Sus scrofa: one gene and its partners. The protein of the gene in region 4 purifies or fractionates together with the protein of the main gene of each other region. This does not show direct contact. Links are inferred from orthologs where the notes say so. Each region holds a gene or a part of one and is shown on either strand. Other genes may lie near its edges.

The links.
Region 1: the proteins of RBBP7 (region 4) and ZBTB2 purify together in Homo sapiens (affinity purification with mass spectrometry; 3 studies listed by BioGRID and IntAct, counting the BioPlex papers as one, with this or other methods). This does not show direct contact. The link is inferred for Sus scrofa from reciprocal best matches to the Homo sapiens genes RBBP7 and ZBTB2.
Region 2: the proteins of RBBP7 (region 4) and FAM60A purify together in Homo sapiens (affinity purification with mass spectrometry; 3 studies listed by BioGRID and IntAct, counting the BioPlex papers as one, with this or other methods). This does not show direct contact. The link is inferred for Sus scrofa from reciprocal best matches to the Homo sapiens genes RBBP7 and SINHCAF.
Region 3: the proteins of RBBP7 (region 4) and PHF19 purify together in Homo sapiens (affinity purification with mass spectrometry; 3 studies listed by BioGRID and IntAct, with this or other methods). This does not show direct contact. The link is inferred for Sus scrofa from reciprocal best matches to the Homo sapiens genes RBBP7 and PHF19.
Region 5: the proteins of RBBP7 (region 4) and PWWP2A purify together in Homo sapiens (affinity purification with mass spectrometry; 3 studies listed by BioGRID and IntAct, with this or other methods). This does not show direct contact. The link is inferred for Sus scrofa from reciprocal best matches to the Homo sapiens genes RBBP7 and PWWP2A.
Region 6: the proteins of RBBP7 (region 4) and BRMS1 purify together in Homo sapiens (affinity purification with mass spectrometry; 3 studies listed by BioGRID and IntAct, counting the BioPlex papers as one, with this or other methods). This does not show direct contact. The link is inferred for Sus scrofa from reciprocal best matches to the Homo sapiens genes RBBP7 and BRMS1.
Region 7: the proteins of RBBP7 (region 4) and ING2 purify together in Homo sapiens (affinity purification with mass spectrometry; 3 studies listed by BioGRID and IntAct, counting the BioPlex papers as one, with this or other methods). This does not show direct contact. The link is inferred for Sus scrofa from reciprocal best matches to the Homo sapiens genes RBBP7 and ING2.

What each region holds. Positions count from the first base shown.
Region 1 is NC_010443.5:14,892,696-14,895,458, reverse strand, and holds the end of ZBTB2 (zinc finger and BTB domain-containing protein 2), read right to left. Parts: coding exon 1,907-2,763; 3' UTR 501-1,906; downstream 1-500. UniProt on the Homo sapiens protein: May be involved in transcriptional regulation.
Region 2 is NC_010447.5:42,929,035-42,933,244, reverse strand, and holds the start of FAM60A (protein FAM60A), read right to left. Parts: upstream 2,801-4,210; 5' UTR 2,615-2,800; intron 1,005-2,614; exon of another isoform or gene 924-1,004; intron 763-923; exon of another isoform or gene 553-762; intron 1-552. UniProt on the Homo sapiens protein: Subunit of the Sin3 deacetylase complex (Sin3/HDAC), this subunit is important for the repression of genes encoding components of the TGF-beta signaling pathway.
Region 3 is NC_010443.5:260,906,277-260,909,776, forward strand, and holds part of PHF19 (PHD finger protein 19), read right to left. Parts: intron 3,179-3,500; coding exon 3,110-3,178; intron 2,940-3,109; coding exon 2,819-2,939; intron 418-2,818; coding exon 350-417; intron 1-349.
Region 4 is NC_010461.5:13,313,721-13,317,652, forward strand, and holds the start of RBBP7 (histone-binding protein RBBP7), read right to left. Parts: upstream 2,801-3,932; 5' UTR 2,593-2,800; coding exon 2,445-2,592; intron 2,159-2,444; coding exon 2,014-2,158; intron 1-2,013. UniProt on the Homo sapiens protein: Core histone-binding subunit that may target chromatin remodeling factors, histone acetyltransferases and histone deacetylases to their histone substrates in a manner that is regulated by nucleosomal DNA.
Region 5 is NC_010458.4:63,408,677-63,412,720, reverse strand, and holds the start of PWWP2A (PWWP domain-containing protein 2A), read right to left. Parts: upstream 2,801-4,044; 5' UTR 2,735-2,800; coding exon 2,154-2,734; intron 796-2,153; exon of another isoform or gene 659-795; coding exon of another isoform or gene 576-658; intron 1-575. UniProt on the Homo sapiens protein: Chromatin-binding protein that acts as an adapter between distinct nucleosome components (H3K36me3 or H2A.Z) and chromatin-modifying complexes, contributing to the regulation of the levels of histone acetylation at actively transcribed genes.
Region 6 is NC_010444.4:6,044,771-6,048,876, reverse strand, and holds the start of BRMS1 (breast cancer metastasis-suppressor 1), read right to left. Parts: upstream 2,801-4,106; 5' UTR 2,650-2,800; intron 1-2,649. UniProt on the Homo sapiens protein: Transcriptional repressor. Down-regulates transcription activation by NF-kappa-B by promoting the deacetylation of RELA at 'Lys-310'. Promotes HDAC1 binding to promoter regions.
Region 7 is NC_010457.5:44,916,153-44,920,394, reverse strand, and holds the start of ING2 (inhibitor of growth protein 2), read right to left. Parts: upstream 2,801-4,242; 5' UTR 1,872-2,800; coding exon 1,700-1,871; intron 1-1,699. UniProt on the Homo sapiens protein: Seems to be involved in p53/TP53 activation and p53/TP53-dependent apoptotic pathways, probably by enhancing acetylation of p53/TP53. Component of a mSin3A-like corepressor complex, which is probably involved in deacetylation of nucleosomal histones.

The DNA of each region.
Region 1 (2,763 bases), on a different chromosome or scaffold from region 4:
CCAAAACGGGAACTCCTATCGTATCTTCTTATATTGTTTATTTACTCATTTGATTCTCACAATATTATTATTATTATTTTTTTGTCTCTTTAGGGCCGTACCGCACACATGGAGGTTCCCAGGCTAGGTGTGGAATTGGAGCTATAGCTGCCAGCCTACACCACAGCCACGCCAGATTGGAGCTGCGTCTGTCTGTCTGTGACCTACATCACAGCTCACAGCAACGCCGGATCCCTAATGCACTGATTGAAGCCAGGGATCGAACCTGTGTCCCCATGGATCCTAGTCAGATTCGTTTCCGCTGAGCCACGATGGGAACTCCTGATTCTCCCAAACTTATGAGCAGTGCAGTTACTGTCTTCATTTTACAATTATACAAAGTGCCACTCAGGTTAGGGGAGTTGCCCAAAGTTCAAGAGAGAAAGGAGACACAGCAGGAACGCTATTTGTCCTTCCTGCATCTTTTTGGGTGGACAAAGGAAGATGCAGATAAAATCATATACCCATTTAATCAAAGGTTTATTCAATGAAAGTATGTATAAAAACTTACAAATCTGAGAACTCAACTATACATGAAACAGGATGACGGGATATTCAGTTTTTAACATACACGTACAGCACAGTTATTAACTGCTCTTCCCTTTCCCCTTCGGTCCTTATTTTTGGCTCCTATTTTGTCTTGTGAGACCATTCTGTTATTGGCCTAAGGGAAGATTAATGGACAACGTTTATGCTTTCAGGCCAATGGAGGAAATTTCAGGTGTCGGGAAAAAATTTGGATACTGTAACATCAAAATTCAGAGTTTTCCCAAAGAGCAATTAAGGTTTTTGTCCTGATTTCTCTTGGCCATTTCTAATGCCTCCATGAATGTTGCCAGTGAACTATTAGCATTGACGTTTAAAGTCATTAAAGTTACTCTATCGGCTCATAGCTTCCCCTGTAAGATGCATTTCCTGCATCCTTTGTCCTGCGCACACACACTGATTTAAAAGCAGCTAACTGGTGCTAAACAAATTTACCACTGGCAACTGCTAGAATGGCATGTCGTTTTCTATTCAGAAAGACAACCTACAGAACAGTACTTCCAAATCTGATTTTTTAAAACAACCAACAAATTTATCAGAAACGAAAACACAGTGTTTTGTTGTTGTTCAACTTCGAAAAAAGCCAGCAATCAGATAAGGCATGTGCATTCATTCACCTGTTTACAGCCGGTATCCACACATTTTCTCTTCCAAACACACAAACTCACAGCTTGTCATGTTGTATCCAAAAATTCAGATTGCCATCACATTATTACTTTTTCCTCTTCTGTGTTTTGTTCAAGTAGATTTCTTAACTAATGATTTTTCTTGACTGGACATAATCTGAAAGGATGCATTCTGAAATAAGATACCTGGAGGATAAATACTAAGAACATGTTCTTGGGTTTCAAGTTTCCCCACACCTGGAGATTGTGCATAGTCCCGAGCCCCGCTGTATTTCTAAGAAGCATGCTGTGTTTCCAGACACTATCTTTCTGAGAAGGAAGACTTATTACCCAGGGAAAGTCATAATTTTAGCTTGGTTACCAAATTGCATTCGCGTGGTTTTGTTTGGTTAAATACCCTTCATTAGTTCCAAGGATGCTTTTAAATAATCGAAAACCTCTCAAAATCTGAGTTTATAAGTACTACTGACCATTATCTTTCCAATATCCCCTGAATTAAAGTGAATATGTTCCAGGTTTATGATGCACAAAGCCTTTCCGGAGGAGGGGGCTGGGGACGGCGCGGGGGAGGGGGGGGAGGGGCCAGGGACGCGTTCGGCTCATGCCACGTGGAGAGCTACAGTTCTGGATTGGGGGAAGGGAAGGAAGATAGTCTGTGTTAAAATGACAAGGTTTTTTAAAAAGATAAGGAACATTCAGTCTAACAACACGGTTTCCTGTTCCTTTTTGATGGAAGCTAACACCGGGTGGTCGGGTTCCGTCACTTCCGAGTCCCCACTGCCCAGGAGAATGGACCGCCCCTCGTCCAGGGCGAAGACGTCCGAGTTCTGGTTTTGGCACGAATGTTTAACCACCTCATTGGGAGTCGAGAACGTTTTGTCACACAGGTTGCATTTGTAGGGTTTGTTCGTCTGCACCAACAGGTTGTCCATCTGGCTCCCTTCCTCGAAGGTGCACAGCTCCAGAGTCTGCTTGTCCACCATGGTGTACGTGTCTATGCTCTGGTTGAGGCACACGTGCCGGGCCGCCTGGTTGGCCCTGCAGAAGCTCTTGTCACAAGTGCTGCATTTGAAAGGCTTCCCGGTGTGTATGTACATGTGCTCCCTCCAGTGGCTCTTCTGGATAAACTTGCGGCCGCAGATGGTGCACTCGTATTTGCGCCGCTTGACCTCCCGCTCCTGGTCCGCCTGCTCCAGGTTGTCAATGTCCGCGATGTCCGAGGGCGGCGGCGTCTCCGAGTGCGGCTGCCCGTCGATGATGGGCGAATCCGAGATGTGCTGCAGCTCGCTGTCGCTGATCATCCCCGCTTCAGGCACTTCCATGGCGTCTTTGCCCAGGTCCGCCGTGGTGCTGCAGAGCGACAGGGGCACGCGGCTCTCGCCGGGCTGGCTGGCTGGGAAGGGCACCCCCGTGTGAATCTGGAGGTGCTCCCGCAAGCTGCTCCGGAGCGTGAAGCGCCGCCCGCACAGGTGGCAGGCGTAGTACTTGGGGAAGCTCCCGTTCCTCTTCATGATGCTCGGCTTCACGTGGGCTATGGTCAGGGATGCGGGCT
Region 2 (4,210 bases), on a different chromosome or scaffold from region 4:
GGAAGGCAGAATTTTCTTAACCTTCCTTAAGACAACATGCGTGACGGGTGGGGGGGAATAACTGCTGGGGAGAAACTGCCTCGCACCGGGCCCTTATCTGGCGAAACAGAAATTCCTAGTCTTCTGAGTGCCTGGAGTCATTGAATGTTAGAAGGAGAAATTAAAAACAAAGAAACCTACGAGGGTCAGAGTTTCTAGAGCAAACTCTGCACCGCCCTACCACCCCAAGAAGCCCCGCTACCCAAACAGCCCCCGCCCCTGCCGCCCCCCACCCCCCACGTAAACACACAAAGACAAGAGCTGCACCCACGATTCGCTCACAGTCCTCACTTCCCTTTGTAGGATAACGGCAGTCCCCAAACTTCCCCGCGGTGGTTTTTGGGTGTCGTCGGGGCTGAGTCCCCTGATCGTGCGGGCTGCGCACGGCTCGGCTGGGGTGGGGGGGCCCTCGCCGCGCTCGCGGGTTTCCCCGAAAGCAGTCAAACGCCTCCCGGTTCCCACTCCGGTGCTCCGCGGCCGCCCCAGGCTGCGCTTCCCCCCACATACACACACCCCGGCACGCGGCGACGGCCGACACAGAGACACCCAGGCAGCAAACAGAACCGCTCCCAGGCGGATCGGTGCGTAAACACAACTGCGGTCGGGAGGAAAGTTCCTGTGGAGAGCTGCCCGCCCGGGCGGGGGCGGCGGCGGCGGCGGCGGCAGCGGCAGCGGCGGGAACCGAGCGCGTCCCTCGCTGCCGCCTCCCTCACCTGCGCCGGAACAACGGGCCCTGCGCCCGCCCGCCCACCCGGCCGGCCCGGCGCCTCCCGCAGGCCGCGCCTCCCGCACGCCGCGTTGCCGGGGCTTGTTCCTCCTCATGGCTTTGCCCTGACGTAATTCAAACATGGCAACAGTTCGACTTCAAAGGCGGATCCACAGACCTCCCAGACGCAGGCGCCGGTCCCGGGGAGCTGGCCGAGCCCTCGGTCGTCGCAGCAGCCAGCGCCCGGGCTCCAGCGCGGGGCCCCTCGGCTGCCGCTGGCCGCGCGGAAGCACGCTGCCTCTCCGCACACCCGCACCGCGCACTAGTAGCGCCGCGAAAGTTTCCCCGCGAGAGGCCGAGGGACAAAAGCCCCTTCCGAAACTCGCCCGAACTTCGGGGGGCCAGGCCTGCACGGCCCTCCGCCCGGCGGCCGCCCAGAGCGCCCGCCGGGCCCGCAACAGCACATGCGGCTCTTTGTTTTCTGTCCAGCTGGGCGCTGCCTACGTGCAGCAGGAGGGACGTGGGATTGTTTCTCTGAGGGAGATACTAGACGATCGCCCAGGGGAAGGGGCCGGACCCCACGTCCCAAAAGTCCGGGGCCGGTCCTGCCGTCCTCCCCTAGCAGCGGGGCCATTTAATCAAAGTTTTGCAATGTCCTTGATGAGAAACGCCCGGATTCCCCGCCCTGCACCGGCCGAGAGTTGGCGACTTTCACTCTGCTTTTGAAACTGGCAAGACGCCATCATCAGCAAGTCACATTGTCCTGCCGGCCGGCCCCGACAGCACCCGCATCTCCCGGCTGACCGCGAGCCAGAGGCTCAGCCGGACCTGGGAGCAAACCCGGGTCGCAGCCCCAGCACGTGGTCTGTCACGCTCGGCACAAAAAGCAGTGCCCTCCTGAGTTCCCGCACTCCTCCGGCGCAGACAACGCCGCTGCCTCCATCCCCAAGTCAACTTGACTCCGACTGGCCATCTTAAGCCGTACACCGTGGCCCTAGAGAGCGCCGCGGCGCCCAAACCACGCTACAGGTGAATAAATTGCGGACCAAACTTGAGGCTCCAGACACCCCGAACGCCTGCGCTGCCTGGGCGCGGCCCTGGGGAGAAGCGTTTCAGAGCCGGGGCCGCTTCCGAGCGGCCGCGTGCTGCTCATTGTCGCATCCGCATCCCTCCGGAGTTGGGCGGACAACGCCACCCGCATGCACTCCGGCCATGCCGGCACCAAGCCGAAAGGCCAATTTAAACCTCCTCCGCCGGCCAGCTCACAAGTAGACGCAACTTAGTTTTCGAGCGAGGGGCATTCATTGTCCACACTCATCTAAACACGCGCCGGGGGTGGGGGGGCAAGAAACTCAACCACGAGGTCCAACAACGGCGCCCGGCCACTCCCGGGCGCGCGCCCACGCGGGTGCACCGACCCAGGGCCCCTCGGCAGTCGCCAGCAACTCGTTTTCTCTCGGGCCTTTCAGCCACCAGGCTCCTTTTCGCCAGCGAGCACTGCGGCTGAGAAAAGTCATTGTCACCTTCAATGTGGACCCCTCAACTCCGGCGACTCCTCACTCTTCCAGGCTTCACTCACTTCCCCCACCCCAAGACTTTCGGTTTGCCTCAAATACCCTCCCCAATTAAAAAGGACACACTAAACATGCAGATACAAAGAATCTGGGGTCTGAGGACCACGAAAACCGCGCTCCAAGCAATGCCATCTCCAAGACAAAACTTCCTGTGTGCGTATATGAATGTGTGCGTGTGTGTCTGTGGAAGGACTGGGGGAGGTGGTGAGGTGAGGTGAAAAGAGAAAAAAAGCCACTCCGAAATCAAAGCCTCCTGAGACAGTTTTGCACCGCAGTAATGGTTAGAGTCACTCACCTTCCAGAAGCAACCGTTCCACGCGCAATAATGTTTCAGAGGTGGGGAGTGCACGCCAAGCCAACCCACGCTCCAATCGCTCCCTCCTCCTCAACTGCCTTGTCTAGAAAGATTGTCTCCTGCAGTTCTGCAGTTGCCACGGCTGGCGGGGAAGGTGTAGATTCCGCTTTCCTTCTGCGCACGCGCAGCTCCTGGTACAAAATTCTCCTGAATCGAACTTATTTGCATACGGGCGCGCGCGCGTCGAGGGCTGGGAGGGGAGAAGGCCCGGCGGCCGCGCGCGCTCCCGAGGCCTCTATTGTCCTTTTAAGGGGAGAAGCGCCGCGGCGCGGGAAACGCGGCGGCCACAGGGAAACGGGGGCGGGGACTGCTTACTACGGTGACGTCACGTAAACAAACGCCCCCTGGCTGGAGGCCCAGGCTAAGGGGGAGTGGCGAGAGGGGAAAGGCGGAAAGGTTAGCAACCCAGGGAGAACACTGGGCTGCGTGTCGTACTTTACACTCGGAAGCTTTTCGCGCACACCGTTTCGCGTTGAAAAATAGTTTTGAAGGCTGTTTTTGCAAAATTTTCACATCTCTGCCCAGTGTCTGAACTGAAGTGGCAGGGGAGGTGGTCTTCCAAGCGCCCAGATTGAATTAATACTTCTCCCATGTTTCCTAAGTTTTGCTTGAAAAAGGGTTTTTGAATCTTTTTTTTTTTAAATTCTCTGAGGCCAACGGAGATTTGTCTTTCTTGCAGTTTTAATGAGTCGTTTAATAAAGTCCCATTTTGACATTCTGTTCATTCACCAGCTCCCGTCTGCACTCCTCAAAGAGTAACCCACTCCATAATAATTCAGTTTTTTTCTCCACTTTGGCCTTAAGATTTCAAGCCTGTTGCAGTTGAAGAGTTGTTAATTTCCGTGGGAATAGTGTCGCTTTTCTTTTATAGTGGAAAGCCAGTAATCTAGGGACACACATCCCACCTCCAGCTGCTAGTAAAGGGTGATCCAATCACCCAGAAATAATACCACCAACTGGTGGTCTTGGGAATTGAAAAAGTTGCCGGTGAAATGCAGAGTTTCCCTTATGGAATATGTAATAAACCAACAATCTAAATGCTTCTTGCCCCAGAAGAGAAAAAAAAAAAAAAAAACTGAAGAACTGAAGTAAATCTCAGACCAATAAGTGAAAAATGGAAAAAAAATAATTGTGGTACACCTTTATTCCAAGAACACATCTAACACCAACAGGCTGAGACACTGATTTAATGACAGACATGGGGAGACAGGAAGGATGTTTTTCCCAGAAACTTGATATTGGTCCCAAGATGCAAAAGTGTGGACATTAACCATAAAACTTAATCATCTGCTGACAAGTTTCACTGCTTTCACTGTAGTGTCAACAATGTGGACTTAGATATTTCTGATGCAAATCAAAACCACTTTGAGATACCACCTTACACTGGCTAGAATGACCATCATTAAAAAGTCTACAAACAGGAGTTCCCGTTGTGGCTCAGTGGTTAACAAATCCCACTAGGAACCATAAGGTTGCGGGTTCGATCCCTGGCCTCGCTCAGTGGGTTAAGGTCCCGAGTTGCCATGAGCTGTGGTA
Region 3 (3,500 bases), on a different chromosome or scaffold from region 4:
TTAGGAGGCTGCAGCCCACTTGAGAGAGGGTGAAGTGTTACCTCAGTGCCTGGCCCAGAACCACAGATGGCCAGAGCAGGGGTTGCTCAGAGATCACAGGTGCAGCCCCCTAAGGAGCTGAGCCCAGTACCCACATGTGCCAGGCGGCTGAGTGGTCAGGGAAGTGTCCCAAAGGAGGTAGGTGCTCCCTGGATCTTGAGGGACAGGTAAGATGGATACAGTCAGGGAAGAGAAGGGCAGACGCCCAGGTGGGAGCATGGCTTGAGCAAGGGCTATGAGGTAGGAAGACCCTATACTGAAATCCCACTGCTGGGGGCCCCAAAGCGCTCCCTCCCTTCCCTGAACATACCGGCTTTTGTAACTGTTGAGAGCGTTGAGGAGATGTGGTCCCCGGTCCGTCACAGGGGTGTTGGTGAGCTGCAGGGGAGAAGGCCAGCGGACAGTCAGACCCGGCACGTGGCATCTGAGGAGGCCTCAGCCCCAACCCCTCCCTCTCAATCTCTGATGCTCGGCGTCCTCCAGCTGAGGACCACTGACTTGTTCTATGATCCAGACAAGTCTTCTCACCTCTCTGAGCCCACATCCCCATCTGTAAGTGAGAGGAATAACTCTTGTCCCCAGTGCATTAAGAGCTTTAAAAATGTCTTTGTCCTCGACCCAGTAATGCTACTCCGCAGAACCTATCATAGAGACATAATAAGACACGCGAACAAAGCTTTATGTACAAAAAAGTTCACTGCAGCATTTTTCTAATGATGGGCAAGTACGAAAAATGGGAAAGAAACTACATGCCCAACAGGAAGGAAAAAAGTAAAGATACTACTTATTTATAGTAGTAAATGCAGCCAGGAAAAATAATGACAAAAACCCTTTCAGTAAGTATGATATAACATAAACCAAAAAATGACTTAAATTATACACACTGTGAGTCCGTTTTTTTTTTTTTTTTTTTTTTTTTTTGTCTTTTTGCTATTTCTTTGGGCCGCTCCCGCGGCATATGAGGTTCCCAGGCTAGGGTTGAATCGGAGCTGTAGCCACTGGCCTACGCCAGAGCCACAGCAACGCGGGATCCGACCACAGCTCACGGCAATGCTGGATCCTTAACCCACTGAGCAAGGGCAGGGACCGAACCCGCAACCTCATGGTTCCTAGTCGGATTCGTTAACCACTGCGCCATGACAGGAACTCCTGTTTCTGTTCTGTATATAGATTCATTTGTATTATTTTTTAGATGCCACATGTAATATTACTTTGTCATAATATTACAAAGACATAATTTGTCTTTCTGGCTTATTTGCTTACTATGATATTCTCTAGGTCCATCCAGTTGCTGCAAATGATACTTCATTCTTTTTTATGGCTGTGATACTCCATCGTATATATACACCACACCTTATAAACCAGTCGTCTGTTGACGGGCACTTGGGTTGTTTCTATGTCATGGCTATTGTTAAGTAGTGCTGCTATGAACACTGGGGTGCATTATCTTTTTGAACTAGAGTTTTCGTCTTTTCCAGATACATGCCCAGGAGTGCTGGGCCGTATGATAGATCCCTTTTTAGTTTTTTAAGGAACCTCCATACCATTTCCCATAGTGGCTTCACCAATTTACATTCCGACAAACTTATGGCTACCCAAGGGGAAGGGGAAAGGGATGGCTAAGTGAGGAGTACGGGGTTAACAGATACAAGCTACCAGACAGAAAACAGATGCGCCACAAGGATTTACTGTAAAACACAGGGAACTATATTCAGTATCTTGTAATAACCTATAACGGAAAAGAATATGAAAACATACAACTGAATCACTTTTCTGTAATCTGAAACTAGCAATAACAATATTATAAATCAAATATATTTCAATAAAAGTTTTAAATACTGTATAATCTAAGCCATGTAAAAAGAAAAACGGGAGAATGAAAGGATGTGTATTAGCAGCAGCTGTTTCTGGGCGGTGTGATGCATGAGGGTGGCTGGTTTTAAGGATACTCCCTTATGCTTTCGGTGCTCTGAAATTTTTCTAAAACATGTATGTATAATCAGAAAAAAAATTTAAATACCAACTCTACTTATCTTTTAGGGCTTTATAATATATATGCCTTATAGATTATCAAATGCTATAACTGAAGATGTTATATGAAAAGCTTTTGCAAAGGATAAAGATTATTTTTAAAAAAACTCCATTTCACTAAAGGATTTGGGGCAGTCAGCAGAGAAGATGCCTCACTGGATGCGGTGGAGAGGATTCTGAGGGTGTCATTAGAGAAACGGGGACATGGAAGTGTTTGGGGAGGCCCTGGCAGTGATGAGCACCAACAAGTCAGTCTTCACCTTTGACATTCTGAAAGGGTCAGAACATGACTCCCTGGATCCCAGCTCCCAGAACTGCAGTGAGGACTTCTGCTATTCAGAGTATGACCAGCAGGGGGCAGGCCCACTTCACCTTCCATCCTGGCTAGGTAATCTGGAGTAAGTCACCCATCTCCGCAGAAACCTGATCCAGCCAGACTCGACCCCCAGGCTCCCTGCGGCTGTCAGTGGGGTCCTAGCCCATCCACTGCCAAAACCTGGGTTAGGAAGCCCCTTGCAGGGCACAGGCTCAGATGCCTGGACACACGGTTGCAGCAGCTGAAAGGCCCTGGGTCTTTGTCCTTACTCAGTAGCCTCACAGACAGGTGGTATTCCTCAAGACTTGTGCTCAGAGACCCAGATCCTAGTTCTGCCCTGTGTGACCCTGGGCAAACCTCTCACCTCTGGACCTCAGTAACCCCACTTTGGAACAGACTCCTGCCATTCTGATGCCACATGGTCTTGCATACCTTGCCAAGCTGTAGGAGCTCCCAGTGGTGGTTGACAAAAGCCAGAATCTCCTCAAAGTCAAAGTACTTCTTCTTGCTCTGCACCCCCAGGTTGTAGAGAGCCAGGTGAACCACATCGACCCTGGGCAAGGGGGCAAGGAGGTGGGAGGGCTGGAGCATTCAGGTCCAGGCTGAAGGGCAGGGGTAAGGCTGGGACCTGGTGGCTGGAAGGGACCACCCACAAGGAAGAGGAGAGGGGGGAAGAAGCTGGGAGGGGACAGGAGTGGACCTGGGCCAAGGTCCCCACCTCACCATCGCAGGGGCAGCCTCTCGATGTACTCTGGGCCCTGGTTACACACGGAGCAGAAGAACAGGTAGAACCTGTGGGTGGGTGAAAAGGGGACCGTGGTAGGAGGGGCTCTGACACCCCACCCTGGCCCAACCCCCTCCCCCCACACTTGCTTTCCTAGTCAGCACTGTCCTCATTCCCTTTGGGGAGGGGATAAAGATGGGGCAGAACAGGGACCAAAAACTATTCCCCTACCCCTTTTAACCTCCACCCGAAACCCTTTCCCAAGTATCACTGCCCTGGAGTGTGCCTGAGTTCAGACCAAGCTGAACAAGACTGGGCTGCGAGGGTCATCCTCTTCCCTCTGCCTCAAAGACACACAGATGCACACACACACAAACACACACGTCATCA
Region 4 (3,932 bases):
CTGTCCTCAACACCCAAGAATGCAGGCTGGCTGGCATTTTCTTGCATTCCCAGAGCCACTGCACATCCCACAACCAGATCCCACTTCCTCATATGCAGAGAACACCATGGAATACATAATTTAATTTCTGTTAAATTCCCAAGTGTTAATATAAACGTAACATCTGGGCCGAAAACACACAGAACTATTATCTTTCAAATCTTTACACACCAAATAAATAAAACCTTTACACAAACCACATCGTGGGTAACATTTTTTAAAGATTTCAAGAAGCAGCCTTCATTCAAATACAAATGAAGAGTTATTCCACCCTAACAAATTATTTCTCAATAGGAAGGGGTGGCAGAATTACCATCAGCCAGCACTTCAACATGTGTGATCTTATTTATTCCCTCAAATGTAGGCAGTGAGAACCGCCAACACCTCTGTTTACAGACCAGACTACTCGGGGATAGAGACTGACCGATTTGCCCTCATTCACAAAGCCAAGAAGCAGGAGGCATGATTCAAACTCAGGTCTCTAACCTTAAAGCCCTCCATCTTGTCTATTGTTACACTAGGTCAAAAAGATCCAAGGAAATGTAAATTGAAGTTTTAAACAAAGAGCCAAACGCACACAATGCTCTAAACCAGAACCTCAATACCCTGGTCAAAGTTGGTATAAATATCAATACTTAGAAGTCTGCAGTGTTTAGTTGTCGGCTCTTCTTCCCGCTGTACATTGACATTGAGATTTTGGGGTAAGCCCAATGGAAGTCCCTATCTGTAGAAGTCAATGTTCGCATATGGACAATCCAGCCGTTATATCGGTTTTATGTGAAGGTAATTTATTTACTCTTATTTCTTACATTACAAAATTCCCTCTCTCGAGTTGGATTAATCCTCATTAAATTATATGCTCACAATTTAACACACTTGTAAAAGTGCATGGCCAAGTTTCTATTAGGAAATGTGCAACTGTATGAAAAAGATAACCTAGGGCAGAGGTTGCCACAACTCTGGGGCCACCTGGCTTGGGTTCAAAAGCCCACTCCACCGCTTACCAGCTGTGTGATCTGGGGCATGTTATTCAACATTTCAGCCCGGTTCCACATTGGTAAAACAAGAATGATAAAAAGTAATTATTCTACTGTTGTATTAAACCAAATAACAGGACACAAAACTCTTGAGATGTGCCATGCCGTATTCTAAGTACTCAATAAATGTCAGTAGTTATCACCGGAGAATTTGACAAAGAATTGAAAAGAATACTCTTAAGAGGACCAAGAGCAATTTCAAAGTGTATCCCATCCCACACTATAAGCCAACAACCCCACCTTTCCGGTAGTGAACTGCTGCTCAGTTCTCTTCCCCTTTGCAATTAACACGTATTTATCTTGGGGGCTGGTTACAAGGATGTGTGCGCTTCGCAAAAATTAATCAAGCCATATTTTATGACTTGTGCACTTTTCTGCACGTAGCTGTTTTCTTTCTTCTTTTTTTTTAATGGCCACACCCGCGGTATATGCAAGTTCCCAGACCAGGGGTCAGATCCAAGCCGCAGTTTCGACCTACGTCGCAGCTGCGGCAATGCCAGATCCTTTAACACACTTTGCAGGGGCAGGAATAGAACTTGCGTCCTGGCGCTGCAGAGACGCCGCCAATCCCATCGCGCCACAGCCGCAACTCCTAGGCACGCTATTTTCCCATAAAGTTTTTAAAGAAATCCCACCAGTCTGGCACCCAAAAAGATGCTGCTCTATGTTAATGCCCAATAAATGTCAAACATATCCGGTGCCTCCCGCAAATAACATTAATCTCACAACAGATTCTTTCTCCCCCTTTAAGCGCCACATTATTACGCCAGAAACCAACCCCCAAATCACTTAAGTTTTAAAAATAAAAATCACCTGCCACCTCACCCAAGGGCTAAACTAACTACATGCTTACGTTCCATACAGAAAACGCCAAAAAGTAGGAAATCCAGGACAACAGTTAAATTTACGCAAAATAAAAGGTGCCAGAAACCCTTACTTAGTCACTTCAGGAAGCCACTGAACGGTAAGACTCGGCCACTGAAGAGCATGGGTCATAACCAGGTCATACAGAAACGGTGTATTCTTCTTCCAGATTTTATATTCTTCATTGATGACACGCTCCTCCACAGTATCTTCAAACACTGAAATTTGGAGAAAGCCCACACGATTAAGTGGCGGAGAGGGATCGAAAACAAAACCTGTACACAGATACCGGAGGTCACCTCGAGATGGCCACACCTAATCTCCTCTCTCTCTAATTTGGACACGAACTGCTCGTCCACAACGTGGAGAGAATATTAACACCAGGAAGCTTTTTTTTTTTTTTTTTTCCCTCTCCACTTTGAAATCAATAATGCCTGCGAATACAGAATCGGGTAATTAATTACACGGACATCGCAAATGTTTTGCCGCTACAGCTGTCCGCACCTGTTCGGAGATGACGAGCCGTATGTAAAGAGGCTCCCCGACCCACCCGGCGAGACGAATCCACGTGTAGCAGAAACCCATCGGCCCGCTCCCTCCATCCCCCACCAGGAGAGGCCTCGGCTCCCACGAAGCCCGCGTCGGCAGCCATAAGCCACGGGTTCCAGAATTCCCCCGGACAAGAGCCGCGACCCCGAGGCGGCCGCCGCGCGCGCGTGGAAGAAGCCGCCGCGCCCGCTTTCCGGCGACGGAGGCCGCCTCCGCCCGGGGACCGAGAGCGCCGCCGCCGGAGGGGGTAGGGGGTGGCGGGGTGGGGGGGGAGGGGGCCCAAATCGCGGCCCCGCGCCCGGCTCCGGAAGTGCTCGCAGCCCTCCGCGCCGCGGCCGCGTCCCGCGTAGGCCCCTCGAGGCGCGCGCCCAGCCTCGCGCCCGGCCCCGCCCCCTGCTCCTCACGCCAATTCGCGCCTTTCGCCGGCGCGTGCCGCGGCCTCGCGCGCCCGCCGCCCCCGCCGCCCCGGCGCGCGCCGCCCCGCAGGGCCTCTTACTCTCTTTACTCGCCATCTTGCGTCGGGTCGTTTGCCCCTCGCCGCCGCCTCGGACTCCCCTCGCTAGCCAAGAGCAGCCCAACAGTAGGCGCTCCTGCCTTTCCCAGGCGCGTCACACACTTCCAGCTCTCGAAGCCTCAGCTCCGTCTTTCAGCCTGGGTGCTCCCCAGACGCCGCGTCCTTCTCTCCTACCTCCTCCCCGATTGCGGGTACCGAGGTCTGAGACGCTCTTCTCTCTCTCTCCAAACTTGGAACGAGACTTTTCAACCCGCGCCTCCCAGCCCGCCCAGGCAGCTGAGCGCAGGCGCATCCGCCCTGGGAAAAGTGAGAGGCGGTGGAGAGGCGGGCCTGGGAGCCAACGGCTTGGTGGTTTCGACCAATCACGTGCAGCAGGCAGGTTTCACGCGGCGTTCGGAGGCGGGCTTCTGGAGGGTGGGCGGGACGTTTCGCGGCAGGAAGTTGGCGAGGCGCAGGCGCGAGGTCTCGCCCGGCGCTCCCAGGGCCGGCCGCGGGGGCGGATGGGGGCGCGCGGGGGTGGGGCGAAGGGAGGTGCGGCGTGCAAGCTGCGTGGGGGCTGTGAGCCCCGGGGCGGCGAGCCCTGGGGCCGCGGGGCGTGGCTGCTTGCAGCGGCCGTGGCCGTGGCGGTGGGGGGTAGGAGGGGGGCAGGGAGGCTGTTGCTGCTTAGCCAGGCACAATCTCAGAGCGAGAGAGGAAAATGGTTTCTGGTCTCGAGAGATTACTGTGCCCTCAAAGTCTCCCAGATAATCGCAGGCATGCAATTGTGTGCACCTCGAAAGGTCTCCCTCCACCCGACTAGCCTTTCCTGGGGCCTGGTGGAGCCGAGGTGTTGTTTGTCGGAGGCAAAGGGGGACTTTTGCAGAGGCCGCGGGTGTTTTCTGACTGCAGAAGCCGCCGGGCCTCCCTGGTTGGCTAAACTGGGGCCTGTG
Region 5 (4,044 bases), on a different chromosome or scaffold from region 4:
TCATCAATTAACATCAACACTGTGCAGTAAAACACGCAATCAAGTAAGTGCAGATTACAAAACATACTACATTTTTCCGAATTAAACTATGAAAAAGATATTCAACTAGTCAATCATTGGCCCATAGTAATTCCTTGAAGGGCTAAATTTTATTTTATGGGGGGGGATAAAATTTTAAAAACACCGTCTGATTTCCTCACCACTTCCAAGATGTGTGTGCATCCTATATAAGCTTCTAGAAGGCAGAATACATATAATACTCAGAATGCCTAGGAGAGTGCTCTACACGGATGTGCTCAATAAATATCTGTTGAATGAAAAATTGATATGGTTCCCTTAATGGCTTTTTAAAAATTACTTTAGTGACAGGATCCTTTCACTTCAAAATGTTAAAATGTGAAAGGAACCCCAAGGAAAGAAACTGCTCTTTCTAAGTACTGTCAGTAAAAATAGACCCAAACTCAAACAAATTGCAGTTCCCTACCAAAGAAAATTTTAAAATAAATAAAACACCAACACAATGAGCACCTCAAAACAGAATAGCACCATCCATTCTATTTCCAGAAACAACTTACCTTTTTGCACTTTCCTTTTGCAGATTTGAAATCCAGATTCTCACACAATCACCGGCCTTCACTTCTGTTTGATTCAATAGCATACACACTATCAAGCATACACTCTCTCTTTTGCTATTAATCAGTAGAAAGCACTTTGGTCTTATTTTGCTTTCTAACGACAAAAAACAAAAGTATTTAAGTCCTGACGTAAATTCTACTTCAAAAAAAAAAAAAAACAGCCAGTTCCCGTTGTGGTGCGTTAGAAACGAATCCGACTGCTAGCCAGTGGATTCGGGTTTGATCCCCGGCCTCGCTTAAGTGGGTCAGAGATCCAGCGTTGCTGTGAGCTGTGGTGTCGGTTGCAGAGGAGGCTTGGATCCCATGTTGCTTTAGCACAGGCCAGCAGCTAAAGCTCCGATTAGACCCCTAACCTGGGAACCTCCATGTGCCGTAGGTGCGGCCCTAAAAAGCAAAAATAATTTTTTTTAAAAAAGACAAAAAAGAAACTAATTTTTTTAAATTTTTTAAAAAATGTAAGACGTAGGCGTAAAGGCTCCCATCTTCTCCCATGCTTCAATTATGTATCCCAAATGAGGAAAGATTCTTAGGTCTGGACGGGAGGGCAAGCAGCTAAAAGTAAAACATACTAAAATTAACCATTTCTAAACAGGTGAGACACTAAGTGTGTGCTGTTGCAGGAAACAGAATGAAGAGCCGTGAATGGGAGTCTCTGCACTTCATATCTGCAAAAGAAGAGAATAAAAAGGTTAAGGTAACTCTAGACCTAGAAGAAAGTATCTTCTTCACCTGTTTAAAGTAATGCCCAAACAATTAAAAAAGGAAAATGTGGTACAAGAGGCTGGCTATTGAGTTCACACCCAAACGTTGTGGGTGAACTCAACCATTTAAACTGTATCGTTTGAGAAGTTAGTATTTGAATACTTTTATACCACATCTCGATACTAAAGGTTAAAAAAAAAAACATCTCTTCTTTAGACTTTTCTTAAAGCCATCATCATGATGAACCAAATATGCTTCCATACTGAACTTATCTAGGGGGAATTAGTTCTAACTAAGAATAACAGTCAAGGATCTCATTTTTAATAAATGCTTTTCCCTTTATAAGGAGTGACAGCCTTTTGGGAGTCCCAAAGCACACACCCCTTTTTTCAACCTCATTCAAGGCTAATTTGAGAACAGGGCAGTATCCCCCATCCAGCACCCCGTTCTCTGCAAAAAGCCTTCTGCATTTTGCATTAACCCATCCACCCTTGTGTGGGTGAGCCAGGGCCAGGTCATAGGAAAAGGCCGAGGCTGGGGGTGAGACCCGCAAGGCCGTCAACACCCGCGCCCCCGACCCGGCGGGACACCTGCACTCGCGGGCGTCCACCTGGGGCAGGGCCCGCCCTCCTGCGGCCCCACGCGCCTGCCCCTCTCGGAGCACGCGCCACGCGCCGCGCGGGACCCAAGGGCGGTACAGGCAGCAGGGCGCCTAAGAGGCGGGAGCCCGAAGTGAAGGGGCCGCCCAGGCTCGATCCCTCCCCGGGGACCGTGGGGGCCGGGGCGCCCGGGGGCGTGCTGGGGAGGACGCGGTACCTTTTGGACAGATCCATCAGGACCCCCGAGAAGAGCTTCTCCCCGAGGCGGAACGACACGACGAGCGCGTCCTCAATGATGTGGTCCAGCGTGACCCGCACCTCCGAGCCGGGGATCAGTTGCGACACCGCGGAGTCCCCGCCCGCCGGCGGCACGAGCGCAGGGGCTGCTGGCTGGGGCAGCGGTAGTTCCTGGCGCTCCTCGGGAGCTGGGGGCTGCTCGGGCGGCGGTGCAGGGGAAGGTGGAAGGTCAGGCCCCTCCTGAGACGCGGCTGCCGTCAGCTCCACAACACCGGCAGGCAGTTCGTCCGCCTCCAGCTCCAGCTCCGCCGCCTCCGGGCTGCAGGCGAGCTCCCCCGGCGGCGGCGGTGGCGGCGGGAGCGGGGGCTCGTCGGCCTGAGGAGAGGACTGCTGCCCGTCGGCCTCGGCGTCCGGCACAGATGCTTCAGTGGCCGTGACCGGGAGCGGGTCAGTGCCGGCCTCGCTGCCGGGGATGGGCTCCATCTCCGGCTCGGCCTCGCCGGCGCCCCCCTCCCCGGGGGACGCTGCAGTCGCTGCCGCCTCTGCAGCCACAGCCGCCATTTTCTTCCTGGCTTCTCCCTCCTCCAACTCCGGCTGCTGCTGCGGCGGCGGCGGCAGCGCTGCTGGGTTCCCCGGGCCTTCCCCGCCCTCACGCTAACAGTTTTGTCCCGCCCTTACCCCCCCCATGCTCGCTATTGGCACTGCGCCATTGGTTCCGTCCTACACCCCTCCCGCACTTGTGACATTCCACTGGTCAAATCAGGACGTCTATCACCCAGTCCATCCCTCCCATGCAGAGTAGGAACTTCTCATTGGCCGGGCGAGTTGTCAAATGTGGTATCTTAGAGGAGGAGTTGGGGACGGGCTCAAAGGGGGCGGGGGAGTCACCGAAGCTGAGCCTTATACTTAGCTCCTCTTTCTATTGGCTGGAGGAGAAAATAACGTCTTACAGTTGGTCTACCCTCCTGCCCATTATCAGCCGGTTTTTCAGAGGTGGAGTAAACGAGGGAATCACGTGGCGTTCCTACTCTTTCAAAGGCGACCGAGGGGTGGAGAAACGAAGTAATAAGGGAGGGGAACCGCCTCCCAGGAATCCCTGCGCAGAGGTCCTTAGAATAAATGTTATTTCTAGGCGCAGACCTGCTTGCTGCCGCGTGTGGGCACAGGCTTCTTTGAGAGGGACAACTAAAAGTTTGAAGATAATTCTAAAAAACAGTTTTTGAGCTCCTACCATGCAAGGCACTTGCACGGGAATAGAATAGAATAATGTGTAAGACATTCCCATAACCTCACTGCAGCTGCTCAAGCTCCCACAAAAAGTGTTTCCTCGACGTCGCTCTACTTTCTAGGAACAATGCACCTACTTATTCCAAAGTAGGAAAATGCTAACGAATCTCTTGCGAAGGAGGGCATTAAGAATCCTAAAGTGTCACTGAAGCAGCCTGGGTCGCTGCCACGGCCTGAGTTCAATCTCTGGCCAGACAACTTACATAGGCCTCAGGCGCAGGGAAAGGAAGAGGGAAGGAGAGAGAAAGGAAGGAAGAAAACAGGAAGGACACCATGCACACTAGATTAAGCTGATGATTGTCAGCTTAATGTATGTCAGAGAGCAGTCCTGGACTTTCTTGTGAACACTACTTTTTGGAAAGTGGTGACACCTGGCTCCTTGCTCCAGCTTTTTTCGTTCCGGGCCTCTCCTATGCCACAGGTGCAAAAAATCCTCTCTCTTCACCGCCCTAATGCTCCTACTTCTCTGTTCCCATTTTGTTTCTTCACTTGTGTAGAAGAATCTATTGAACCCATTTCTGACTAATTGCACCTCAGATTGAGTCTTTTCTCCAGAAGAGACTGTAGGCACTGAGAATGCCTAC
Region 6 (4,106 bases), on a different chromosome or scaffold from region 4:
ACCCACTGAACGAGGCCAGGGAGTGAACCCACATCCTCATGGAGACTCGTCAGGTTTGTTACTGCTGAGCCACAATGGGAACTCCTGGGCCCAAACTTCTGATCCGGGCTTCCAAGGCCCTGCACAGACTGGACTTGAATCACCGGTCCAGCTCCTTCACCCCACCATCTGCTGGCCAGTTCTCAAATATACCACGCACTTCCCCACCAGCCCTAACGCCCACGGCGCTATTCTTTCTTTCTTTTTTTCTTTTTTTGGTCTTTTTAGAGCCATATTCGCAGCATATGGAGATTCCCAGGCCAGGGGTCCAATTGGAGCTGTAGACGTTGGCCTACACCACAGCTACAGCAACGCCAGATCCAAGCTGCGTCTGCGACCTACACCACAGCTCACGGCAATGCTGGATCCTTAACCCACTGAGCGAGACCAGGGATTGAACCCGAAACCTCATGGTTCCCAGTCAGATTCCTTTCTGCTGCGCCACGACGGGAACTCCTGTGCTATTCTTCTGCCTACACCGCCCTCCACTTCTCTTCCTGAGAACACTCTACGATGCTTGTGTTCTCACTGGGCTCAAATCCTATCTCCTGCTTCCTTCATGATCTCATGTCCTCAGTGCTGCCCTCTCCCTTATGCATCTTCAACTCTCGCTCCTGACAGCTCCTCCCAGAGAACGTCAGACGTGCTCAGGTATCTACCACCAGAGAGAGAAAGCAGAAACACAAAACCTCACCCCACCCCACTGCTCGCCGTTTTCCACCTCATGGCTACTTTTCAAGGCCTTGTGGACACTTGCTATTCCTACTCGCCCACCTCCCACTTGTTCTGTTCCTGTATCATCACTCTCAGCTGAAGCCCATCCTGTAGAGTTAACTGACGAACTCCTCGTACCTAATGCCAGTATTTTTTGGTGCTTATCTTAGGTTGACTTCTCAGCAAACTGAACAGTCTTAAGCATTCCTTCTTTTAGTCACTCATTTAATATTTACTGAAGATCTAATACATGCTAGGTAGCAGCAGACACTATGGTAGGAGCTGGGCACAGGTGCGACAGTCTCTGACCTCAAGGAGTTTACAAGTTCCTGGGACAGAAAGGCTAAGAAACAGACTGTTGCTGTGGGGTGAGAAGAGTTAAGACCAGGGGCTTACGGGAGAGGCATCTAACTGGGACCTGGAGCCTGCTGCAGCAGTGAGGGCCTGCAGAGGAAGATGGGCCAGACAGATGAGCTGAGCTGGTCAAGAGAGGGTGCATTCTAAGTAGAGTGAGTAGCAGGTGCAAACACCCCAAGAGGAGAGAAGGGGGCAGGGCTGGGGGTCCATGGGTCTAAGCCTCACAGAGAAATGTGGGCTGCAGAGATCTGGTCATCACATCGTGAGTTCTTCAGGCCTTGGGAGAGGGTGCAACCAGCAAGGCAGAATGTGTGGAGTGAGAAGGAGTTCATGATGGAACTTCTAGGGTCATCAAAGGGGCAGATGACAAGATGCCAGGAAAGGAGAAGGAAATTAGCAAGAGACAGAGGAGGAAAAAGTCAGAGTATAGGGGGAGAGAGAGAATTTCAGAATGAAGGAGATGAGACAGTGCCAAATGCTGCCAAAAGATCGCCCAAGAGGAAGACTAAACAGTCTCAATAGATCATTTCTGACTAAAGGGGTTTCTACTTCACCGGATGTTTTCCTCTGGGTACTTTGTAGTCCTTCAGATCCGCGTAGATGCCCCTCCTTATTTATTTCCACGTCTGTTGCCCATCCTCATGCCTGTCTGTGAGCCTCCCCAGGGCAGGGCTGCACACGCGCTTTACCCACCCCGCGCAGTACTGACTCACTAGACCACTGGAGGATTTGCGAATGCAAATTAAACAAAACACATTTTTGCAGGGCAGGAAATGGCTTTCTTAGTAGCCCCTGGTCCCTACAGTGGTAGCAAACCCAAAGTGTTTTGTCACCTTTCCTTGACATCAGTTTGAGTAAACTGACTGGCCTAGAGGGCCGTTTCAAAGCATTCCTCAAGGATTTCACAAATGATCTGAACCTGAGCTGAAAACCTCGGTTCTCCAAATCAGCCTCCTCTTTCCCTTTTTCAAGCCTCAGTTCCTGGAGTTCCCAAACTTTGCAATTTCTCTTCACTGTTAAATATATTTTAACAACTCGGGGTAAGTCCCACCTTTCTGGACCAGAGAGGGCGGGGCTTGGGGGGAGGTCTCTCTCCACCAGTCTCTGGGTCTACTGAGAGAGCCAAATTAAATCACATCCTCCCCACTTTAGCCCGGGTACAAAATGAGGATAACCATCACTACTCTGGGTGTTGTAAAGATGGCAAGAGGTAAGGGATCGAAAAGCAAACTATAAGGTGCTGTGCACATGCAATTTATCTTTTCAGAAAGCGAGCATGTCAAGGGCACGCCTCGTAGGAAGGAAGATTCTTCCCCACCCTCGAAGAAGCCGACCCAGTCCCTCCACGGCGCACCCAGAGCCTCGCGCCCCGCTCCATCTCCGTACGCGGCGGAGCGGGCGGGAGAGTCACTGGCTCCTCGGTCCCGCGGCCCCAGCTCGCGTCCGGGCGGTTAAGTCTCGCTACCGCCCTGGATATTGGGCAGGCTCCGACTGCCTGTCCGAAAGGGCAAACCAGGCGCCAGGGTTGGCGTTACGCACCCGTAGGTAGTGGCGCTTCCAGCCTCACGTCTTAGATTCCCCAAGAGGTGCCGGAGGTTATCGGTACTGGCTGCCGCTGTGGGGGTCCCGGAAGCGCCGCACCGGTCCCTCTTCTCCGGGGGCGGGGCCTACCCGCGCTTTCCGCATGCGTCATCAGGAGGCGCCCATCGGAGTGCTCACAATTGGATAGCTGGGGCGAGGCATGCTGGGATACCGCGGGACGGTTTCCATGGCAACGGACCGACATTCACACAGGCTTTCAGCATGCAGGAAAGGCCCTTGTGCCTTCCTAGCTTTGCAGCCCTCGCGTCTGGGTCCACAGTCACCTCCCGGCGGCGCGAAAGGGGAGAACCTGCGACCCGCGGCCCCCACCCCCGCCCGGTTCCGGAGAGTAATGGAGCCAGCTGTAGGTGTGAACACTCATTTATTTACACATTGTAGTCGGTAGGCAAATCACCCAGCCCAGGCTATTCAAGGGTACAGATCTCAGACGCACAGAACCTGCAGATCCTTCCCTTCTCTAGAGCCCCCGGGACGGAGGCCTAAGACACCAGGAAGTTTCGGCTTCTGCCCAAAAGCTAAGAACTAAATTCAACGCCTTCATCTGATTTCTTTCCAAAAAGCCCATTTTGTTAACTACTCAGACTTCTCAGCTCTGCCCCCATTCATACTTTTTGCTCTCCTACTGCTCACCCACCCAAGATTGTTAATAATAATAACAATAATAATAACAACAATAATAATACTGTAATAATATTAATAATACTTCACATTTGTACGAAGCTTACAGAATGTTTTCACATATAGCATCTCATCTGAGCCTCCCAGCAGTTCTGTGAGGTAGGTATTCTCACCTCCCTTTTACAGACGGGGTAACTGAGGCTCAGAGAGAGAACGGGATTTGCTCAAGGCCACACAGCTAGTTAGTGGTTAAGCTAGGACTTGATCCCAGCACCCCATATTCAAGTCCAGTGTTCAAACACCACAGCTACCACTGTAAAGTGGAGTGACGTTTCTTACCCCAGTCAGGCCTGAGGGGCGGCCTAAGGAGGGAGGAGGCTGAGACTTCTCAGACTAGGGGAAGGAAGGGCTCAGCAGTGACGTGGGGAGTCGGGGTACTTGGCCTTCAACTCCTGCTTGAACTGACGGTAAAGGATCTTATTGTGCTGATTTTCGGCCTCCTTTTGGGGGTGGAATTTCAAAGCTTCTTTGAAGCCTTTATGAACCAGGAAACCTTCGTTCAGCACCTCAAAATCGAATCCTGCCACGTGCAACTCACAAGCCTGTGGAGGGAGAAATAGGTCAGCAAAGTTTGATGAGGTTCCCAGGCCAGAGACGGACATCACTGCTCACTCCAGCATGCCCATTCCTCTGGAGGCATCCTGGATCTTTCAGCCATCCAGCCACCTCCTAAACTATGATCCCTCCTGCCTCACTGGCTCCTTTCCATCCAGGGC
Region 7 (4,242 bases), on a different chromosome or scaffold from region 4:
GTAAATTTTAATTTATCTGCAAAATGAATTTTAATTTCATAGAGTTGTGAAGATTAAATGAGATAATGTTCTGGACGTGGTGCAGCAACTGACGGTAAATAATCTGTATTATTTCACTACTCCCCCCGCATAAAGATCAGTCCTCTTAATCATACGGGCTCAAAATAAATTACAGATTAAAACACACCGAGATGCTCTAAAATCCTACAGGCCCAAAAATATCACCCTTTAAGAAACGGGTTCCTTAGAGACTAAATCACAGGATTAGTGACGTGCCGAAACAGAGAATGGGTCCAAGAAGTTATCCCTTTAAAGTCCATATGGCTGGTTACACATTAAGTCCCAGATCTGTTCCTTGATTCAGGGTTATTAAACGCAAACGGCTCCCCATTTAGACTCCCCTTCTGGCGAAAGGCGAAAGGGCCACCAATGGAAAATAATAAATAATACTTTCTGTAAGAAAAGCTGAGCCCCAGTCCTAGCCTCCTGGATCGGACCACAAAGGGTGACTAGTGCCTCAATCACTTAAACTTGGCAAGAGGAGGGACTCAGGGTTTAAGGGACGCCAGGCGGTTGCCCAGTCAACCAACCCACATCCTCCAAGGGCCCGGAAGTGACGCAAGGCCCGGAACCTACGCGGTGCCAGGGTCAGGGACGATCCCAGCATCTGACAGTGTCTTTGTCGTGATTGAGTGGTTCGGAAAAAGTAAAAAAAAAAAATCACAACAAACAGTCCCAGATCCCAACACTGAATCTCCTGAGAACGAGCTAACTTCCCGCACAGCTCCCACCCGTTTCCAACCAGCTAGCTTCGCCCAACTCTGTGCGAGACCAGCCATCCCCGACACTGGCCATTCCCGAGACCGGCGGGAGCGCGCGTGTCCTCGCCCCTCCCATGTCCTACGTCACGGCCTCAGGCCCCGCCCCCAAGTGGGGGCCCTCCCCGCCACACACACACACACACACACACGCGCGCGCGCGCACACACACACACACACACACCCTCTTCCTTCCCCGCAGGGACCCCCCTAGCCCTTTAACCATTTGGCTGAACAAGTTGGGAAAGGCTACGGCCCGGAACTTTCCCTGGGGCGGGAGAGGAGACTACTATTCCCGAGTCCGGAGCCTGAGAGCCGACGGAGGGACCTCCCCGGAGGCCGCCTTCGCAGCCCTCTAGCCCCCTCCCCCTCGCACGTTCCAATGCATCTGCTCTCAAGGAGTGGGGGCCCACCTGGGGGGTGGGGAAAGCCAGGCCCAGGAGACCAGCGGGAGTCCGGCCGCGGCCGGCCGCTCACTCCCCACAGCCCCGCCTGGCCGTACACTCCCCGGCCGGGGCAGGAGGGTCTGCGGCACCGGGCAGGGGAGCGCCGGAACAAATGCTTGCTGCTTAAAATGGCTGATTCCCCTCCACACCAGCTGCAGCCTCCGGGTCTGCAGCGGGGGCTGTCGAGCCGCCCCCACCTCCACCCTTGAGACTCCAAGAGAAGTCCTCGCCGACCGCAGGGGGAAGGGAGGGCCGCGAACCCCGTCTCCAGTCCCGTTCTCCCGTCCCACACACCAGACCCCTCTGTACACTCGGGGAGACTGTCACAGGAGAAATGGAAAGCGGCACTTCCCCAGGCAGGCTCCGAGGGACCGTGCCCGGCGGCCAGCGGATGAGTTGGGGGAGGACCCGCACAGGCAGTCCCGCGGCCCCTACCTTGATATTTGTTGTCCAACTCTCGCAGCACGGACACGTTCCTCTGCATGTCGTGGGGCAGCGACTCCACACACTCGAGGTAGTCCTGCACGTAGCAGGTGAGAAGCCGGCTCCGCTCCCCGGTCAGGAGTGCGGCCGACGAGTAGAGTTGCTGCTGCTGCTGCCCTAACATCCTGCCGCCGCTGCTGCTCCTCGCCGCCGCCGCCGCCGCCGCCTCCGCATCCAGCAGCCACTCATGCAACAGCCACGGCCGCCGCGGCTCCTCTGCTCCGCAGCCCGGCGCCGCGGGGACACCCGCAGCCGCTCAGGAGGGCACAGCCGAGTCCCCCGATCTCCACTCCCCCCAAAAAGAAGCCCTCACTCCCCGCCCCCGCGGTAACAAGCCCAGGGGCGGGGCGAGATCTGGGCTCCCTCCTTTTTCCCCTCCCTCCCCAGGACTAGAGCAGCGGGGATCCCCCCAGCGGAGCTGGCGCCGGGGTCCCGGGCGTTGACACTTCCTGTCCCCCTCAAAATCCCCAGATGCTACCGATGCCGCTTCGCAGCTCGGAACCCCATGACAAGCCTTTCGCTGCCCCTTTCCTCCCAATCACCCTCGGTGCCTGTCGGAGAGTCTCTCACTGGATTGCCCCCGCCCCTCCGGCTGCGGACGCGTCTGCGCCTGCGCAGGCCTCCCTCCTAATAAGGCCGGGGGCCCGCCCCTACCGCCCTACCGAAAGGTTCGCATTCTCCCGCCTTCCCTCCGCCACCCGGGTGATTGGTCTGTAAACTCTCGGCCCGGGGCGGGGGGAGGGTGCGAAGGGCAGCCAAACGGCAGGCTGCGCACCGCCCCCTCTTAAAGGGGAAGCACTGTCAAGTCCACCTCTTTGCTCAAGGTCTGAATGGGACTTGCGGGGGCTGACGGCTGAGTCCTCCCTTTCGTCCTTCCCACAGGGAGGGGGAAGCTTGGACCAGCTCCCCCAGCCCGGTGTTACCGACTTTTCCCCCATCAGGTGGATCAAGCGCGGCCCCTCGCAAGCCTTAAAAGGAGCAGCGGGCGGTGGCTCTCCGCCGCGACCCTGGAGGGAGGCCTTGCGGGTCGACGCGGCGGCTTGCAGCGGGCGCGGCTCCGAGCATGCGCGGCGGCTGTGTGCCCGCCCGCTCGGCACCGCCCTCGGGCTCGGTCCTCCTCCCGCCGCGGCCTGTAGGCTCCCGGAGCATCCGGGGCTGATCGCGGAGGTAGGCGGTGCCCCCACAGCCCCCTGAGGTTTCTTTCTCCCTTAGTCGATCCGTGTTTTGAATCTCCTGGCTTCAACGAGGTCCCACCCTTCCTCAGACGCGGGGCCCCCCCGCGCCGTCCCACGACCGTGCAGGTTTTGTCCACCCTCCCGCTCTTGGGAGATCGAGTTTAGTGTGGGCTGACTGCCCTGAAAACTGTCCAACGGGTAACCTTAAAAAAAGAAAAAGAAAAAAGTTTCCCCCCGGGGGATCAGAACGTTTAAGCATTAAACGTCGGCTAGGGCTTCCTGGCGGCTTGAGGTTCACCACCACCTTAACATCTTTCTCCTCTAAGACAGAAAAACACTGGGGGGCCCGAGGACAAGGGGTGGTGAAGACGCGAGGAAAAACCTAATTAGGAATCAGGTTCACGTCCTCATCTAGGTGATCGGTCGACAGGGTTTAATTTCTGTCTTTTGTAAACTGAAATGCCAGGCAGAGGAGCTAATTTTAATTTCAGATGGACTCAGTTTGTATAATGACGTGTGTTTTTGGAAGAAACGGGTGTAAAGAGAACTAATACAAAGAGAATTTTAATGGCGTGCCAAAGTAAACAAACACTATTGTGAGTAGCACATTTGAGTTAAAAAGAAAACGTGAGTGGGTGATAAATTTGGATTTCTCCTTATATCCATTTGGTTCGCCGCGGTGGTGCACTTGCATGGTGACCTATTTAGAGTACTTTTGAAATAGCTGTTAATAGTATGGTTACCATTGACATGCAAAGAGAAATCTAGACCTTGAGGTACAGGATATTTTAAATTTTAAAGCCGAAACAAAGCATTCTTGGAAATTTGAGTCTTGGGAACAAAGTAATATTACACAGGACTCGAAGATTGTCATGTGCTATTTTCCTGTGACACTTTGAGGTTTTGACCACTTCAACCCAGGCAGTGTAGTATTGTATTTCAGAGAATCATCTAGGTTTCTTATTGTTGTCCTCCTTTAAATCTCTTAGGTTAAGCAGCCAGATCTTGTCAAAAAACAGTCACTGTGAAAAATTGAATTTTATCACTTTTTGCCTGAACCTTACTAGTTTTGTTTACACATAGATTTAAATCGGTTAGGGTTTTTTTGAAGGCCCCAAATAATGCACAATGTCTTATTATTTATTGATTCTGATTAGACATAGAATGCACCTATGATTTTATTCAGCCTAAATAGTGATCTGCAGGCAGATATGACACATGGTTAGAAAGTAGAAGTGAGAAAAGGCAGTGATTCTGAATACCTAGAGCACTCCCTCCAAGAACAGAAGAGCATGAGATGAAGGGAGGATGAATATGCAA